3 linked regions of the Saccharomyces cerevisiae S288C genome follow. Changing the gene in region 1 together with any one later gene gives a genetic interaction. Each region holds a gene or a part of one and is shown in the gene's direction. Other genes may lie near its edges.

Region 1 (6,154 bases):
TATATGCCCTCAACAACTTCTTCATTGTCCTCCGCCCAAATTTCTTCAACTACTAGGAGAACGTCAACAGATATGAAAAGTTCTGAAATGATAGCCACGACAGTTTCTACCACTTCAACAACCTCTTCCTCGACTTCCTCTACTACCTCTTCTACCACCTCTTCTACCACCTCTTCTACCACCTCTTCTACTACCTCTTCCTCGACTTCCTCTACTACCTCTTCTACCACCTCTTCTACCACCTCTTCTACCACCTCTTCTACCACCTCTTCTACTACCTCTTCTACTACCTCCTCTACTACCTCCTCTACTACCTCTATCTTTTCTGTTACGTCTAGCTCCTCATCCATTACATTGTCCTCATCTGAGCATACCACAGTCGATAGCCGTACTTCTTCACCCTCTTCCACCTTGGTGCCAGTGTCCTCGAGTAGCAGCACACTATCAACTCCAAAAGTGACCTCAATGACCCCTAGTACGTCATCAACGATACCAATAGTTACCTCAGTGGAACTAGTGACTAGTGTGGTTACAAAAGCGATCGTGAGTACTTCTGATCAACATCAGGAAACAATATTTGTTACGAGGACATCCGTGGTTGAACGATCTTCTGAGGTAGCTACTGCTACTGCTGCCGCCTCAAATAATAGATCTAATTCGACTTCGAAGCAGCGTCTGAGTGGTGGAGCCATTGCCGGTATTGTTATTGGTGTTGTGTTTGGCGTAATTTTTATTATTTTGATTCTATTGTTCCTGATATGGAGGAGACGGAAATCGCACGACCAATTAGACTTGGAGGAAACGAAACATTATCAGCCCTATTCGTTCGGTGATGAGGATGCAAATCCAATAGGACCGCCTCCCTCCTCTGGTACGACAAATTGGATGAGACATTCAAGGGGTAATACAGCGGGTTCTATCGGTACAAGTAATATGTATGGTTTTTCTATGAGTAATGGTGCAAATTATAGTAGTCCTAGTTCAAACACCAGTGGAAGCATCATAAACAACTTGGCTGGCTTACAAGATGCTACGGTTCAGAAACAGAACCTTCCATCGACAGTTTTTGAAGAGGCAAATACTTTGAATAGTGCAAATGAAAGGTTCAGTGCCAATTCTTTACCCGACATGATGATGAGCGGACCATTGCAAGTGGTAAACCCTGATAATCCTGATAATCCTGAATTATCTAGTACCGTATCTCATAATCGAGCCTGAAAAACTCGCATAAACTCTCAACATTAATGGTAATCAACTGGTTCTGCTGGACGGAGCCATTCTAAATCATTAACTTTATAATATCATGTTTTATACCCTAATATTTAAACAATTTACTGCTTTTGGCACTTCAACTGTTAGAAAAAGAACAATAATATTTAGTATTTAGTTTCATTTTTAAATTTTCTGATTCACTTCATTTGCAGCTTCTAATGATGTTTGTGGTACAAAAATATAAACAATTTTAAAATATTAAAAAAAAATGCTTCCAATCGGATTTGAACCGATGATCTCCACATTACTAGTGTGGCGCCTTACCAACTTGGCCATAGAAGCTAAATCTCTGAAAGCTGCGCTCTTCAAAGGCGAACCAAGCAAGATAAATTAATATTATTATGTAAAACTATCGTTTTCCTTTTGTTGATTCCTATATCCCGGAGAAGAACTACTAATTATCAAATTATTCACCAAATGATCAAATTTAGCAGCGTAGTGAGTGCCACTATGTAGATGTTGGAATAAAAACCAACTATCGTCTATCAACTAGTAGTCATACTATCAATATATTATCATATACGGTGTTAGATAGTGACATAAGTTATTATAGAAGCTGTCACCGAAGTTAGAGGAAGCTGAAATGCAAGGATCGATAATGTAATAGGATAATGAAACATATGAAATGGAATGAGGAATAATCGTAATATTGGTACATAGAAATATAGATTCCATTATGGGGATTCCTATATCATCGAGGAGAACTTCTAGTACATTCTGTATACCTAATATTATAGCCTTTATCAACGATGGAATCCCAACAATTATTTCAAAATTCACCCATTTCTCAGTAGAATTATTAATATTGGGGAATATATGGGTTTCTATGGTTCGATAGTACTGGCGCACATTCAGCATACAAATCCTACTACCTTGGTAAAGACCGAAATGCCAACAGCCGTCATTAAATCACGATATAATAGAGCATATTTCAAGTTATATAGATCCATATATCAAGGGTTTACCATACGCTCTTCCAAAACTTGTAAAGCTAACTGTCTTCGTCTTTCTTCTACAGTCATAATTTTTTTGGCGCCTCTACTTTCTGCGATGGTGTTCCCAATATCTATATCAATATCATGAAAAGGTTTAATGACTTTAAATTTTACAACAACTACATTATAAATGAAATTGAAAATCGGCCTCAAAATCGGCTTAATTAGATCAGGAAAGAAGTAAATCAATTGAAAAGTATCAGATGCATCGCCGACCAATATTTCCTGACCACCTTGAGAATTAGTTGTTGGCAAAGAGGGACAATTCAAGGGTGCAAGTTTCTGGAAAAACCTCAAGTACGACCAACTGGCAAAAAAGGTAACCCAAATGGAGAACAATTGAGCAAAATGATGAAACCATATTATTTGGGTTACCGTCATTGTAAACATTACAAAAATGGGTAGTAATTTGAACCTAAAGTTTTTGGCCAAAAATTGAGGTGTCTTCAGATGGATTATAGTTGTTTCAGGCAATAACTGTCTATAAATGATAGGGAAACCGATTAAAATTGTGTAGTTCCCGTCTAAGGGAATATCCAGCCTTACCTTATTAGAGAAAAAAGATACTAACAAAGTCAGCATGATGATCAGAACGTTTGTAAGAGAACCTAAAACTATGATAAATTTGAACATTTCTTTGGAAGAGTTCCAATTGCGTTCAATGAAGGATCCACCAATGATCAAATTCAATAAGTTCACTACCACCTTCCAAGCTTTAGTGTCGATGAAGTTGGATAGAACTAATGAGGTGGGGTACCTCCAAATCTGCGAAGGTACCATTTGCAAAAGCGGCGAAGTAATCAAGTTGTAGTCCAAGTTAGGGTCTTCAAGAACTAGCTTGTTGTACAAGGATCTCCTTATACAGAAAAGGGTTGCAGTTAAGCATATATAAGTGACTGTAATAAATTTAGTAGCATCAGGAATCTTATTGATATTTAAAAATGAATCCGGGATATTCAATTCTAGGAACCTCGAACTATATTGCATTATAGTGAACAAATATCTTTGTTATAAATAGATTAGTCGTCTTCTTTTTCTTGGCTTGGTTTGTATGAGCTTGTTACGTATCAAACAAAATATTCACATGTTTTTCTCACCTTAAAGACAGAGGCGCGATTGCGTTTGCGAAATTCCAATGCCAACAAGATAAGCTTGACGAAGGAGTTAAGAGGGCGGCTTGAACTAAAAAGAGAAAAGCAATAATGACGAACGATATTAAGGAGATACAAACAATACAGCCGGGATTGTCCGAGATTAAGGAGATAAAGGGTGAACTGGCTAATGTGAAGAAAAGGAAACGCAGGTCTAAGAAGATTAATAAATTGACTGATGGTCAAATACGTATAAATCATGTTTCGTCTGAAAAAAAAAGGAGAGAATTGGAAAGAGCTATATTTGACGAACTGGTAGCAGTAGTACCTGACCTGCAACCCCAGGAAAGTCGGTCAGAACTAATCATATACCTGAAAAGCTTGAGTTACTTAAGTTGGTTGTATGAAAGGAATGAAAAGCTGAGAAAACAAATCATAGCTAAGCATGAGGCAAAAACCGGCAGCAGCAGCAGCAGCGATCCCGTACAAGAACAAAATGGAAACATTCGGGATTTAGTACCGAAGGAGTTAATTTGGGAGCTGGGTGATGGACAGAGTGGTCAGTGATTCAAGGAGTAGGGTAAAGTAAGTAATATAAGCGAAGAAATTCTTCCCATACCTTTTCTTCACTTTGCAGAGGGGAGTGGTGCATATCCCACAAAGAAAAGTAGCAACAACAATGATATATATACGTTACTACTAATGCTTTCCTTCATCGAAAGTGTGCCGAAGTATTTATTTAATCTTTTAGTGTTCAACTTACTATAATGTGATACTTTTTCAATATTGTTTGCCGTTGAAGCGATAGTGCTTTATGTCATTTTATCTTTCTTTTACATTGTTTTATTTTAGAGCTAAAATTGAACATCAGTTTGCAAGAAGTCAGTTGGTTGGCCTTTGCTATTAAGAGACCATAATGTTATAGTGATTGAGATCAGTTTCACCAACTAATAACAATTAACCCGGGCGGTTAGTGTAGTGGTTATCATCCCACCCTTCCAAGGTGGGGACACGGGTTCGATTCTCGTACCGCTCATATTTTTACTTTCTTATCAAACTTTTTTTCCTCCGGGACGTGAAATAACCGCCGAGGTTATTCTCGGAGCATTCTTTTTTGTGGCTTTTGATCATCCATCATCATCATCATCATCATTATTACTACTACTACTACTACTACTATTATTATTATTATTATTATTATTATTAGTATTATTATTATTATATTGATTAGTTATTAGATAGATACAATTAAGAAAAATTTATGTAAAAGGTCAGAATAAACAGCATTTTTCTCCTCTTTTTTTATTTTTAAAAAAAGAAAAAGAAACTTCTAGTAAAGTGCAGCACATTCAAGTGTGATTAGTTGAAAATGGAAGCAATTTTACGGTTCAATTTCTTCAAGAAACCGCCTTCCTTCTTGGTTTCCTTCTTCTCACTGACGGCGGCGGAAGCTTGCTTCTTAGTTTCTTCAACTTTGTTGGCAGCTTCGGTCTTCTTTTGTTCGACACCATCAGCAATGTTTTGTTCTTCCTTCTTCACCTGTTCAGCTTCTGGAGTAGCTTCATTTTTTAGGTTGTCGATAGAAGCTTCAGCTTGTTCCTTTACTTCTTGGCCCTTGTTTTGCAAAGATTCTTTGGTTTCTTCCAACTTTTGTTGGACATCTTGGGCGGCAGTTTCAGCTTTGTTTTGAATTTCAGACATTATTAATTGATATAAACGTAGTTTTGTATGTTTCTTTGATTTGAACTTTTAAGTATACAGAGAAAAAAACCGATCAAAGAAAACTAAAGTATAATGAGGTTAAAAACGAAAGTAATAAAGTAGAAAGGCTATCAAGCAAACTGAGATGATCTTCGACGTAAAAACTCGCTCTATATATATACGCCATATAAGCCCATCGGCGATGGGGGACAACACGAAGAAACAAGAGAAGAGGAGAACCGCACAGAAAGCAGCAGAAACAGAGCAAACCAGCATTAACTAAAGATGATAAAAATAAAATTAGGTAAGAAACCTTAATTGGATATACAAAAATACACTGGAGGCACAAATCGCCATCGATATAAAACACGATAAAGCCCTGGTGCACCCATAAACCACACGTTTAACTATTTGGGTCGGGGCACGACGAAATCTAGGGATAGGCACCCGGACCGTCGGGGCAATACTAGGCGCACACCGCGCTCGTGAAGCAGACCTCCCGGCGAGTTTAGCTGCGCCACGTACTGCTCTAACGCGAGAGACTCCTGAAACACAGGTCTAGAAAGAAGGGGCCCCAAAACCCAGCTCCACAGACCGCCCGTAAGCATATCGAGCAACAGGCCACTTAAGTTACGCCACCCGAACACCTCACCTTCTTCACGCAGCAAGAATCCGTTTACCCGGTGCACAACCTCCGCGAGCTCTGCCGCACTAAGATATTCTGACAGAGGCGAGACGGAGGAGCAGCCAAACACGTGATCCCCAATGTCGTAACGCCCGCACCGCACAAAGCTAGTGCCATCGTCGCCCACGATTGCCGCCGGCTCGCTACCGGGAAGCTGTGTACTAAATTGTGGCGTTTCAAGGCTGCTGCGAGACTCATCGAACCGCCGGGGCACTCGTACCACCCGGGTCACCTGGAACTCGGCAGAGCCCCGAGCAGCATACACATTCGGGAAATGTGTAATACACAATTTGTGGTCTTCGTCGTGCTCTGTGGGTTTAGCGTCTTCGGAACCGAGGTCTTCGTAGAATGAATACGAAAACTCATGGTAATTAAAAAATAACGCCCTTTCGCTCGTATTTGCGTTATCT
Region 2 (6,068 bases), on another chromosome or scaffold:
ATCACTGACAATTTGAGATTTTATTGAAGGGTTCAAATTCAATTGTTGCGATAATATGCTCAAATTCTGCAACTTTATGGATGGTTCGAAAACTAGCGACTTATTTGGATCTTTTGAGGTTAAAACATTAGAAAAATCATTTTTCTCTACACCAAGTTTCTCAAACTGGAAAAGAAAGTTGTTATTCATTTCAGATAGTGCAAAAAGATAACCGTTTTTGAAAATGTGTAATTGGTGTGAATTTTGGATTGTATCAAAGTAGGACAATTGAACTAAAGGTCTATTTCTATCATTAGTGTCTGGACTTACAGTTAACTTAAAAAGATCGCCATGGTTAGATTGTAAAAGTACGAAAAAATCATTTTTCAATTTCTGCACTATGCCTGATATGATTGTTACATTTTTATGACGGCTATTTGTGATAGATCTTTTGGGTATTTCCACTTTCAGGCTGAAAAATCCGTTCATATCCTTTACCAGAATATGATTTTCGAAGCCTATGACAACAAAAGGGTTGAAAAGGGTATCATAGTCAGCATCATAGTTGTTGTCGCTTAGCGAAGTTGTTATATTATATCGCGATAGATCTGGCAAACTCAGTACGAAATTGGCAGATGGGTTAACTAAATAATCTGCCTTCTTGACGATGTGATTCAAACCCAACTCGAGGACATAAAATATCAAGTGTACTGATAGTTGAGTAGCGGCATTGTCGATTTCTAAGGTAACAAAACATGGATTATTGAAATTTACATCAACAACTGCCATATCCAGCGTTACCATATGGGGTCTGATGATTTCCAATGGAGACGAAATCCTCAATTTTTGAGCATAATCAACGAGGAAACACAATTTATTTTGTTCGACAGATGAGAGAATGATACAACGCCCATTAGGGTCAATTTCCATGTATGATATGGGAGAGACTCTTCGAAGGGTGGTCCTCGTCAATGGCTGGTTCACTAAAGTCTTAAGTCTAAGAGCACCTGCATGCATAATGATTTGCACGATACTTAGGTTACCAGAATCGGAAGTTAGCGCTAGAAAAGTGGGCCAGTTGGAAGCTTTTGCCCTTGACCCTGAATGCGGCAGATCCAGCGACTTCATCGAGGTTATCGTCGCAAACAGGTTTTGAAACTTGGCAATAAGCTTTAGTTCCCCATCTGCAGTATCATAAAGTTCTAAATGCGTCTCAGTAGCTACGCACAATTGCGACTGCTCACGCTTGGACCCTGCTTCCAGATCGACGAAGTGTCCGATGCAGGAGTGCACGAAATTCGTCTGTTTCTTTAAAGTAAGATGGTACAAGTATAGCTCATCATCTTTAGCAACCATTGTTATGTTATGGTCACTCCTTGTTCTTCTTTCAGCCTCTCGTTTTAAACCGTCATAAGCCATCGTTGTGCTAGCTTGCCCAAATAGTTTACGCATCTTCGCCGTGTGGGGCGACAAGCTTACTACTGCCATTTTGCCACCTCCCCACATTTAATGATGGAAAATATTATAAAAAAGCGAGAAAAGAAGCTAATGGTGCCATTGTTTTCCTTTTTAGAGAGGGGCAGCAGAGATCGGTGGACTTTGTTTTGATAGAGGGCGATTGCAAGCATGGAGATTTACATTAGACTTAACGCAGATGTCGAGCACGACTATGCGTTTCAGGTGTCAAATGAAGACACCATAAATAACAAAATTAAGAAGATTTTCCCTTCCAAGACGGGTTTGGCGGACTTAATGGTGCTGAGACCATCAATTTTCCATGAGAAGGAGCCCGTAAAGTTCTATAAGTCTATCCATCCAGGGTACCTGTCCGAAGGTGGTTGTTTGATGTTCCATTATGAAGCTGATAACGAAGAAAATCTCGAGGAGTTGAATGACTCCAAGCCGCTTATTGACCAGTTGTGGCCTGGTCAGCTAGTTGTTCCGGAGTGGAAGCTATCCAAGAAAAACATATGGGTATACACCATTATTATGTTGGCCTGGCTATATACCGATTTGCCCGACGCCATTTCTCCAACCCCAGGTATTTGTTTGACTAATCAATTGTCTAGACTATTGATTCCTGTAGCCAAGCACATGGATTTACCTGAAATTGCCGCTAAACTCGAACAAGAAGTTCAGGCAAACTATTCTAGTCTCGTAGCTCAATGGCTTTTCTTTGTCATGCACATTTTCAAAGTGGGCATAATTACTTTATTCCTCAAATTAGGCATTGCCAACCCCATCAGCTTCAATCCTTACAAGTTATGGAGTTTGAGAGATTTAACTTCTCCTTCTGCTAACGGCGCTAAGAATTCTGGCGGCAATAACAACACTACTGACTTAAAGACACGTTTGCGCTCTCTGGGCTGGATTGGTGCTAAGAGAGCTACTTACGACGATTACCAGACTAACTATTACAACTATGTCATAGATAAGATGGGTGGTGCAGTTGCTGCTTATAGAGCGGGCGCGATTAGGAAAGCTGCAGCACCAGGTATCCAACTTGTGGCTGGAGAGGGTTTCCAAAGTCCTCTAGAAGATAGGTTCACTGCTTCCACTTTCACGGCTATTAAAACCGAACGGAAATTCATTTTAAGTGAAGAATACTTTGTGGAGCTGGAAAACAATCTAAAGAAGATCTTGGAAGAGTATGACGGGGATATTGGTAAGATGAATGCTGAAATTAGGAGGTTTAGAAGGTTTGGTATTTATGAACCAGATGAAAAACTGGCCTCGCTAGTTAAGCTCAGAAGAGAAATTGCTGATGAGAAAGAGAAAGCATCAAACAATGATGCTACTTTTGGTATAAAAAAGAATGATTTGAAAAAATCTAATTAATTGTAAAACCAAAACACTACCATCCAGACTTTTTTTTTATTCAACCATAGCCTTTAACTACTACTACTACTACTAGTACTACTACTATTACTATTACTATTACTACTACTAGAGGGCCTTTTTTTACTCCTAGTATTTTTGTACTATCCTATTTACTCTCGTTGTTTTTATTAGTTTTTTCACTCTTTTTTTCAATTCCTCACGAATCTACTGTTTTCGTAGTGCTTTTTTTTGTTTCATTGTTTATAGCCATCAATGGTTTTTGTTACTATCATTATCATTATAAATATTTCATACAATATATACAATATATATACAATAAATGAGAATCGATTTACTTTTAATGCATTTTTGCAGTCAAAAAAAGCTTCGTTTACATTTATATGTATTTATGTTTGTATTTCTGGGGGAAATATGCCTTTATGGGCGTATATACTCTTTCGTACGTTTCTACATCCGAGTAGCAGTAGTAACTCGGTATTGTGCTTTCGTCGCCATAATCAGGACTATCATAATCGAATTTTTTTTGCGTTTTGTTGTCACCACATATGGTCCCTTCTTCCTCATCATCTATCAATATTCCCAATTCGTAGACAGTTCTACTTAAATTCTCGTCAATGACTTTAGACACATACTTTCGTAGTTTCAATTCATACCCCTTAACCTTCCTTTTACTAGACAAAAATCTCGGACGTATAAAAATGATGAATATTATTATGCTTAGAATTAATTTGCTTATTAAAATTACCCATATGATAAACGAGAACAACATGAAGGACAAGATCACACTTTCTTCGTAATTTGTCTTAGCAATATGTTTTATCTTGTTTATTATTCCATTTAGGTCATCTAAATTACCTAGGCTTTGAGTACTATGGGTTCCGCTACTGGTCTCATTCGAAACTGTCAGTAAAACTGACCACAAAGTTAATCCGTTGATTATTTGCCTTGGAGAGTCACCGAACAATAGCCTCAAACATCCACTGATTTCAAAATATGAAAAGAATAACCACTTACTGAATTTTTTCTCATCAGTCAGCACTATTAGTTCGAAAATTTGATACTTTTTGAAATTGAACAAGCAATTTATTAATCTGCTAATGCCATTCATGTAGTTCGATGTAATCTCTTTCTTCCTATACACTCTCAATCCAATTACCAACTCCCAAATTAATATTAATGAGGAGCATAATATGCATCCGCTAAACAACCATTTTGAAATACGGAATTCCAAGAATGGTTGGATGATATTGTTCGACCATGTGTTAAATGCCAGTAATTTAATACACGTGTATATATCAGAAAAAAACATGGCCACATGTAGTATCGACTGACACCAGGTGTATAGAATATACTGTAATTTTGTGGTCCACTTCGCAGTAGGAATAAGATTTATGTCAATATCCTGGAATTTCAATTTTTGTAAACTTGATTCCATTATTTAGCGCTTTGTTGTCATTTTCCTTTCCCTCTTAGACAATGTGGTAAAAAATGCCAGCTCCAGGGCTTTCAATTAATCCATTATTGATTTTTAATCTGGAGGTTTGAGCATGGCTGAATAATTTATATACAAATATCTTTTTTTATTGTTTCAGATCATTCGTTTTCAGTATGATTTACTATCATTCATTTTCTTTTTCTTTACCATTTTACGTCGCCGTCGCACATCTTAAAACAAATTTAATACAGAGTTGAAAGTTTCAGACTTAAACAGAATTTACGCAAGAAAGTTTTCAAAGTCCTAAAGTAAAAACGCGCCTTCCACAGCCATTTCTTTGTTCAACAAAAAGTTTTGGCCCTTACTGCTATTGGATACTTGGCAATCCGTCTTTCGTTATGCCAGATGAAACAAATTTTACAATAGAAGATATTGAGCCTAGGCCTGATGCCCTTCGAGGTTTGGACACCCAGTTCCTTCAAGACAACACAGCATTAGTACAAGCATATCGTGGTTTAGACTGGTCAGATATTTCTTCGTTGACCCAAATGGTAGATGTTATAGAGCAAACAGTGGTTAAATATGGCAATCCAAATGATTCAATCAAATTGGCCTTGGAAACTATTTTATGGCAAATATTGCGTAAGTACCCTTTATTGTTTGGATTTTGGAAGAGGTTTGCTACTATTGAGTACCAGTTATTTGGTCTCAAGAAATCGATTGCTGTTCTGGCCACCTCGGTCAAATGGTTCCCAACTTCTCTGGAGTTATGGTGTGATTATTTGAATGTGTTGTGTGTTAATAACCCGAACGAAACGGATTTTATTAGGAATAATTTTGAAATTGCAAAGGATCTTATTGGCAAGCAGTTTCTATCACACCCTTTTTGGGACAAGTTTATAGAATTTGAAGTTGGGCAGAAGAATTGGCATAACGTTCAAAGAATATACGAGTACATTATTGAAGTTCCTCTACATCAGTATGCGCGGTTTTTCACATCTTACAAGAAGTTTTTAAATGAAAAAAATTTGAAGACAACAAGGAATATTGATATAGTTTTACGAAAAACACAAACAACAGTAAATGAAATTTGGCAGTTCGAATCGAAAATCAAACAGCCCTTCTTCAACCTGGGCCAAGTGTTAAATGATGATTTGGAAAATTGGTCGCGATATTTAAAATTTGTGACGGATCCTTCAAAATCCTTGGATAAAGAATTCGTAATGTCCGTTTTTGACAGATGTTTGATTCCTTGTCTTTACCATGAAAATACGTGGATGATGTATATTAAGTGGCTAACAAAGAAAAATATATCCGATGAAGTGGTAGTGGATATATACCAAAAAGCCAATACGTTCTTACCACTGGATTTCAAAACTTTGAGGTATGATTTTCTTAGGTTTTTGAAAAGAAAATATCGGTCAAATAATACCTTATTCAATAACATATTCAATGAGACAGTATCGCGTTATTTAAAGATTTGGCCCAACGACATATTACTTATGACGGAGTACCTTTGTATGTTGAAAAGACATTCTTTTAAGAATTCCTTAGATCAATCGCCAAAGGAAATTCTAGAGAAACAAACATCGTTTACTAAAATCCTAGAGACATCAATCACCAACTACATCAATAATCAAATTGATGCCAAGGTGCATTTACAGACCTTAATAAATGATAAAAACTTAAGCATAGTCGTGGTAGAATTGATAAAAACTACATGGCTTGTACTTAAAAATAATATGCAAACAAGGAAATATTTCAACCTTTATCAAAAAAACATCCTCATTAAAAATTCTGTACCGTTCTGGTT
Region 3 (6,704 bases), on another chromosome or scaffold:
GTTTTCTGATCCTATTACCTTGTGATTCTTCCATCTTCCTGCCATGTTACGGCATCTACCATTGATTAATGAATTAGCCGCTGGCGAGATGTATTTTGTGAATACCATTGTCTGTCTGAAGAGCTTAGCTTGTTCATTAATGTACCACATCCGAATTCTGCTAAAGTCAGCTTCATGTTGTTGATCCGGGATTTTGTTAAGATGGTCAAAGATGGTGAAAATATGAGATATGTTCTGGTATTCTATTGAATGTAATTGATCAATCACCATCAACTCTATTGAGGACAAAAAATCGTCCTGCCTCTTTTTTTTATCTGTATTTTCTAAGATCATTTGAATACCCAATGGCGAACATACAATAATGTCAGACTGGTAAAAATTGCTATAAAGTTTTATAGCCTTTCTTGTGAATTTGAGACCGACAACAAAAAAATCGTTGGTGTTCCCCCTAAATATGTGTTGGAAAGATTTTGGTTTGGACTTTGGAGGTAAGGAGTCGTCACGGAATTGGTCGTAGAACTTTCCCTTCTTGTCAACCTGATCTATACCAGATTTTGAAATTATCTTATCTACAACGCGGTACGCCACCTCTCTAGTAGGGACTACAATTAACACTTTTGGTCTTGTAAAACCTTGATCTAGGTGTTCAGTGTCTGGGTTATCCTGTAATCTTTGATTATTTTTCAAGATTCTATCTCTTGTCTTGTAGATGTGATTCAAAACATGCAAAGCATATAAATCTCTGTACTCGTCTTCGTCCTTTTCGTAGGAGTCATACTCGTATAATATGTCTTTATACTGAAACATGGGGTCTACTAATTTTTTTTGCAAAGCAGTCAATGGATCAGTTTTTTTATCCAATAGTCCATTTTGCACTTTTAGCCTTTGTTTCAAAAAGTATGAATATATAGATGATGACCTGTACGGACTTTCCACCAATGCTTCCTCACCAATTACTACCGGTTTAGCATATATATATGATTCACTGTCACTTAGTGAGCCCTTTACGGATTTGTATTTTACACTTTTGGTCTTGAAAGCATTCGACAACTTATCAACGAATTTCTCCGGAACTTGGTTGAAATGAGACTCGAAAGGATCTTGCTCATCTTCACTGTCTATATCTTTTTCGTCTCCACTGCTGTCATCGTCGTTATCATCCTCGTGATTACCCAAAAGGCCATTCTCTATCTCCAATTGATCATCCACTGGTCCATGTTCTGTATTTTCGTGCTCATCCTCCCCAACTTCGGCAGGAGCTTTGTTACTCTCGTCAGCCTCTCGCCTTCTTCTTTTTGGCTCTGGATGTTCAGATTTGAGAATCGTCAATAAAGCGTCATAAACTTTTTCCTTTTTACCCTCTTCATCCTCAATATCGAAATCATCGCCACTGTCGACATCGGACACTTCATCCTCATCGGATCTATGGTCAATATCTTCTGCTACGTCCTCTAATGTTTCTGTGCTTCCGCCTTCAGTTCTGGCAGAAGATCTTTTAATCTTCCTCAGTTCTTGTCTTCCTCTTTTCCGATAGCCACGGAAATTATCATTCTTTTCCCTCACAGAACTGTCACTCATTACAATTTGGTCACTTCGCAATTATACCACCGTCTCACTGAACCAATGCAGTTTATTCCCTGTATTATATTATTGCAAAATATGCGATGAGCTAAATTATAGTAGTATTGCGAAGGAAAAATTTTTCAGATCATGGTACACGAGGAATCGCATCAGCTTGAAGCGAAGCAAGGGACTGGAGCGGTTACTGGTTTCGGAGAGATGATTGATGAGAAGATGAACATAGGTAAAGGATCGAGGTGTAGTGATACTGGAAGGGCTGTGCGTAAAGTGTTGGTGGATCTTATAGTATTCGTGAAGCTTCTTTTTCCGTTTTGCTCCCCTCAGCCCATCGCGTAATTGCTTAGATCTATTAGAGAGGTGCTGTTTGTGGCCGATCACGCTAAAGATTAGGCAACGATGACCAGTTTGTCCAAAAGCTTCATGCAGAGTGGACGAATCTGCGCAGCATGTTTCTATCTGTTATTCACACTACTTTCAATTCCAATCTCGTTTAAAGTTGGTGGTTTGGAATGCGGGCTTTCCTTCACGGTGACACTGTTCACTTTATATTTCATAACTACGACTCTTAACGTGTTGGCAAGACGACATGGAGGAAGACTATACATTTTTTTTACCAACTGTCTGTATTACTCACAACATTTTATCATTGCATCTTTGCTATACCTGTTTTTGTCTGGATTTTCTAATGATGAGTTGGGAAACGTTCTGAAAAATAAATATAATGAGTCGGAGTCGTTCCTGGAAGCTTTGAAAAATAGCTTGAATTCCAATCAAATTAACTACGTCTTATATTATTACTACTATCGATTTGTTGTACAACCGTGGCAATTCGTGCTTACCAAGTCCACACCTTTTTTTACTCTATCGGAAGGTTTTTTCACTATTTTAGCCATTCAGGCCGTCGGGGAAACTAATAGATGGTTATCAAATGACTTGAATTCAAACACGTGGATTATTTCCTCATTGTTAACCTCCGGAGGTGTGATTACCGCATCGCTGTACTATTTGTATCGGATTTATGTCACCCCCATATGGCCGTTATCCATCCAAACGGCGTCCTTATTAGGACTTGTTTTGTCTATGGTATGTGGACTGGGGTTGTATGGTATTGTGAGTCAAAAAGGATCCGTCATAGAGAGCTCTTTATTTTTTGCGTATATTGTTCGTTGTATTTATGAAATTTCCCCCAAATTAGCTACTACCGCGACTGATGAAATTTTAAATTTGTTCAAAGACGTCTGGCAGAAACATCAAAGAAATCTGCCCACAGCTGACAATCTTTTGTGCTACTTTCATAATGTCATATTGAAAAATGCAGAGGTGTTATGGGGGTCCTTTATTCCTAGAGGAAGAAAGAAAACCGGTGATTTTCATGATAAACTCATTAGCATTCTATCATTCGAAAAAGTATCCTTGATATCTAAACCATTTTGGAAATTTTTCAAGAATTTCACCTTTAGTGTTCCGCTATCCATTAATGAATTTTGTCAAGTTACAATTAAGATGGCAAGCGAATCAGTTTCCCCAGCTATAGTAATCAATTTATGCTTTAGAGTTCTGATGTTTTACTCGGCAACGAGGATTATTCCAGCATTACAAAGAAAAAATGACAAACAGTTGCGCAAGAGTCGCAGGATCATGAAGGGATTGTATTGGTACAGTCCTTGCATATTAATTGCTATGTATACTCACCTGATTTTACAATATTCAGGTGAGCTAAAGAAAGACCTGTGCATATGGGGTTGCAGTGAAAAGTGGTTTGGCGTAGATCAACCAGAAATTATAGTAGATTCATGGGGATTTTGGAACTGGTGCAACATTTTCTGTACTATTTTGGTATACGCTACAGAATTAATAGGTTCTGGTAGTTGAAGCTGATGCATTGTCAAAAGAGCCGCATTACCAGCTTTGCCAAATACGCGAAGACAAAAAGGAAGGTGAAATACCAACTGACTTATAACTAAGTGATAGATGATATCTGTTTTAAGTGCCATTCCTGAACCATTTTTACATTTGGTTAGTTTCTTTTTTTGTTATTATTTGCATTAGTCCCTTGCACGTTCATAGTGAAAATCCCTTACGCTCACCACTATTTTCTAATAAATACAATGAACATTTTAACTCATACTCTAATATGTAGACACATAAATATATAAATATATAACATTTCCCTGAAATACTACTTTTATTACGTGGTAGATTTTAACCTGAAGCCGATGCAGATTATTCTAGATAATTTTATTTCGGTTTTTTTTTTTCTGTTTTGCTAATTTCCAAGAACCCTTTTTCTTCTCTTATCACAACGATAAGAGGTACTTAAGATGATCTTCATCCTTGGATTATTATTCTTTCCCTCTTAGAAAAGTGAATAATGAGAAGAATCCATTCTTAAATTTGGGAATGCAACGTACGAGGGAATTGGAATCGAGTGTCGCAATAGACCAAACTGAAGTACCCCGATCTAGATTTTTTATAATGGTTAAAAAATTATCAAGAGTTGCCGATATCGTCTATATAGTTGACACATTTCTAATTCCGCCATTGCATCCTTTAAAGAAGCAGCATCCAAAAGTTGCAAAGTTTTTGAAGGTACAACTTGTCTTTGATTTGATATCACTGTTTATTTTTGCTACGCACCAACTCCTACTGCTAGAAGATGGTAACTTTGGGAAGCACTACTTCAAAAGGAAAACAAAACGGTGCTCGAAATTTTCGTGCTCTCGCTGTAATGCAAACGCTCACCACCCCAAGTGGTTCAAATTCAAACATTCACTCCTATGTCTAGGAACGTTCTGTTTTGGGGTTTATTCGTTGGTAAAGATTAATAAGTTCTTTAAAACTGATCAGACTGTTGATCTAAACAGACTCTTAGAGCTATTCTTTTGGCAACTTAATGCAATTCTTAATATGAAGTTATTCGCCTTTTACGGGGACCATTTAGAATCACATAGTGCGCCTCTTGATGTGTATGAGGATTCTTTTGCAAACAAATCATCGTCAGGCGGTGACGAGGTTTAACAACTGTAGTTTTTTCGATAGTATCTTGAATCTGGATAGCATTTAATTGCGATTGAAACAAAAATGGACTACTGCACACTGTCTAGCGTTCGATATTTTCGTGCCATTATCACATATGATCTTCGGAAAATGAAGCAGATTATAACATCGGCTGAATTGATTAAAAATGTTAATAGTCTCCGGAAGCTGATGCGTAAAGATTAACATTGTAGTGGGAGAGTGGGTGACAGGGTATAAAAACGCAGAGAGAAATAATTATTAAGAACGATATGAATTACTGACGTTTTTTAATTTCGTGTTTAGAAACACAGGTGAATCTTCAAATAATAATGTAAATTGCATTTTTTTAAAAGCAAATCTATGGATATATTGGGTATACTGTAAGTTCTCCTCGATAGTACAGAAAACCATAACAGAACATATAATTATATGTAATTGTTGATAATTAGAGGTTAAAAATTAGTATTAATGAAGAAGTGAGTACTGATCTTCTTATACTAAATAAGAGAGGTATATAAAACACACGCCGATTGGTCATATTAATTATGACCAATATAATAGTGATTCCGGTAGTTACTATACATTGATGTGACGACTCATATTCCTCATATATGTACCTACCATAACATGTTCAACTAATAGGTCTTTAACACAGCTTCAGTATTGTCTGAGCTTCTCGTTTAACATTCCTTCTGCAATAGGCGCAATCACACTTAAACGTATACGAGTTGTACATTAATATACGATGTAAGCATTAGATTGTTACCATAGCAACTCATGTCACTATTAATTACTCTCGTTCCAACAGTAATTACCGTGGTTATTAATACGGCTTGCTTATTTGTTCCCAGTTGTCAATGAACAGTAATTGAAAGGCAGTAATAATTAGGGATAAATACTGTATATTCTTATGGTATATAAGAGAGAAATGGGTGAATTTTGAGATAATTGTTGGGATTCCATTGTTGATAAAGGCTATAATATTATGTATACAGTATATATACTAGAAGTTTTCCTCGAGGATTTAGGAATCCTCAAAATGGAATCTGTATTTCTACATACTAATATTAAGATTATTCCTCATTCCGTTTTATTCCTTATTCCGTTTTATATGTTTCATTATCCTATTACATTATCAATCCTTGCATTTCAGCTTCCTCCAACTTCAATGACAGCTTCTCATAACTTGCGTCACCATTTAACACCGTATATGATAATATATTGATAGTGTAACTACTAGTTGATAGATGATGGTTGATTTTTACTCCAACAGGTTTTTATTCCTACAATTTTCCGGACATATATATATAAATAAAGATCATTCATATTTACTGATATGGTAACATGTTTTTCTATTCAAATCAAGCTAATCAAATCCGATGTAGTGTAACGGCTATCACATCACGTTCTCACCGTGGAGACCGGGGTTCGACTCCCCGCTTCGGAGTTATTTTTTATTCTTTTTTTTTTAGGGACTATTTAGGCAGTATTTTTACCACTAAAGCGCATGAAGTCACATTCTCTGAGCCTGCTCCATTTTTTCAGGGATCTTTATTGTTTAGCAGGGTAATACCTTTTTGTAAGTGCCATAGAATAAAGTATTAAACTAGTCGATGATCGCGTTAAGCATAAAACTTTGAGTCTGCTGTCTCTGATTCTATTTACTATTTACTATATACTGTTTTATACTTCTCTTGCATGACTATTGGTCCATTTAGGCTTCATCTGAACGGTTGAATACAGTTACATACAATGACAAAAACATCACAGATAGTCCGTAGAAGACTAGCAATAAGCTGCACCTTTTGTAAAATCTATCTTTTGGTGGAATCATCTTCCCAATAGCCAAAGAATCCAAGCCTATTAATTTGTAACCTAATAATCCAGGTAAAGTGAATGAAATAGACGTTGAACCTGTAGCCCCTACAAATGAAAGAACCAGTGCAAATGACTGGACAGACAACGCCAAGGTATACATGCTTATTAGTAATAATGCAGTAATCCAGTAAAATCTAGACTTAACAAATGGCGCATGATGCTCGTTATCCCCGGCGACCGCCATAGTCCCTCTTTCATCATTATTGTTCTCTTGACTTTCAATTGAA

Evidence for each region.
Region 2: mutations in INO4 (region 1) and GSF2 together harm fitness more than expected from each alone (negative genetic interaction), as found in Saccharomyces cerevisiae (3 studies listed by BioGRID).
Region 3: mutations in INO4 (region 1) and ICE2 together harm fitness more than expected from each alone (negative genetic interaction), as found in Saccharomyces cerevisiae (3 studies listed by BioGRID).

Annotation. Positions count from the first base shown.
Region 1 is NC_001147.6:109,202-115,355, reverse strand, and holds INO4 (Ino4p), read left to right. Parts: upstream 1-3,469; coding exon 3,470-3,925; downstream 3,926-6,154. Other genes in the region: WSC3 (Wsc3p), read left to right, coding at 1-1,218; YOL107W (uncharacterized protein), read right to left, coding at 2,226-3,254; ZEO1 (Zeo1p), read right to left, coding at 4,718-5,059; SHR5 (Shr5p), read right to left, coding at 5,467-6,154. UniProt on the Saccharomyces cerevisiae protein: Transcriptional activator of phospholipid synthetic genes (such as INO1, CHO1/PSS, CHO2/PEM1, OPI3/PEM2, etc.).
Region 2 is NC_001145.3:176,821-182,888, forward strand, and holds GSF2 (Gsf2p), read left to right. Parts: upstream 1-1,605; coding exon 1,606-2,817; downstream 2,818-6,068. Other genes in the region: U2 snRNP complex subunit RSE1, read right to left, coding at 1-1,485; pheromone-regulated K(+) transporter PRM6, read right to left, coding at 3,197-4,255; PRP39 (Prp39p), read left to right, coding at 4,654-6,068. UniProt on the Saccharomyces cerevisiae protein: May be involved in the secretion of hexose transporters from the endoplasmic reticulum. Involved in secretion of GAL2 and HXT1.
Region 3 is NC_001141.2:191,618-198,321, forward strand, and holds ICE2 (Ice2p), read left to right. Parts: upstream 1-1,977; coding exon 1,978-3,453; downstream 3,454-6,704. Other genes in the region: rRNA-binding ribosome biosynthesis protein UTP25, read right to left, coding at 1-1,578; YIL089W (uncharacterized protein), read left to right, coding at 3,982-4,599; AVT7 (Avt7p), read right to left, coding at 6,314-6,704.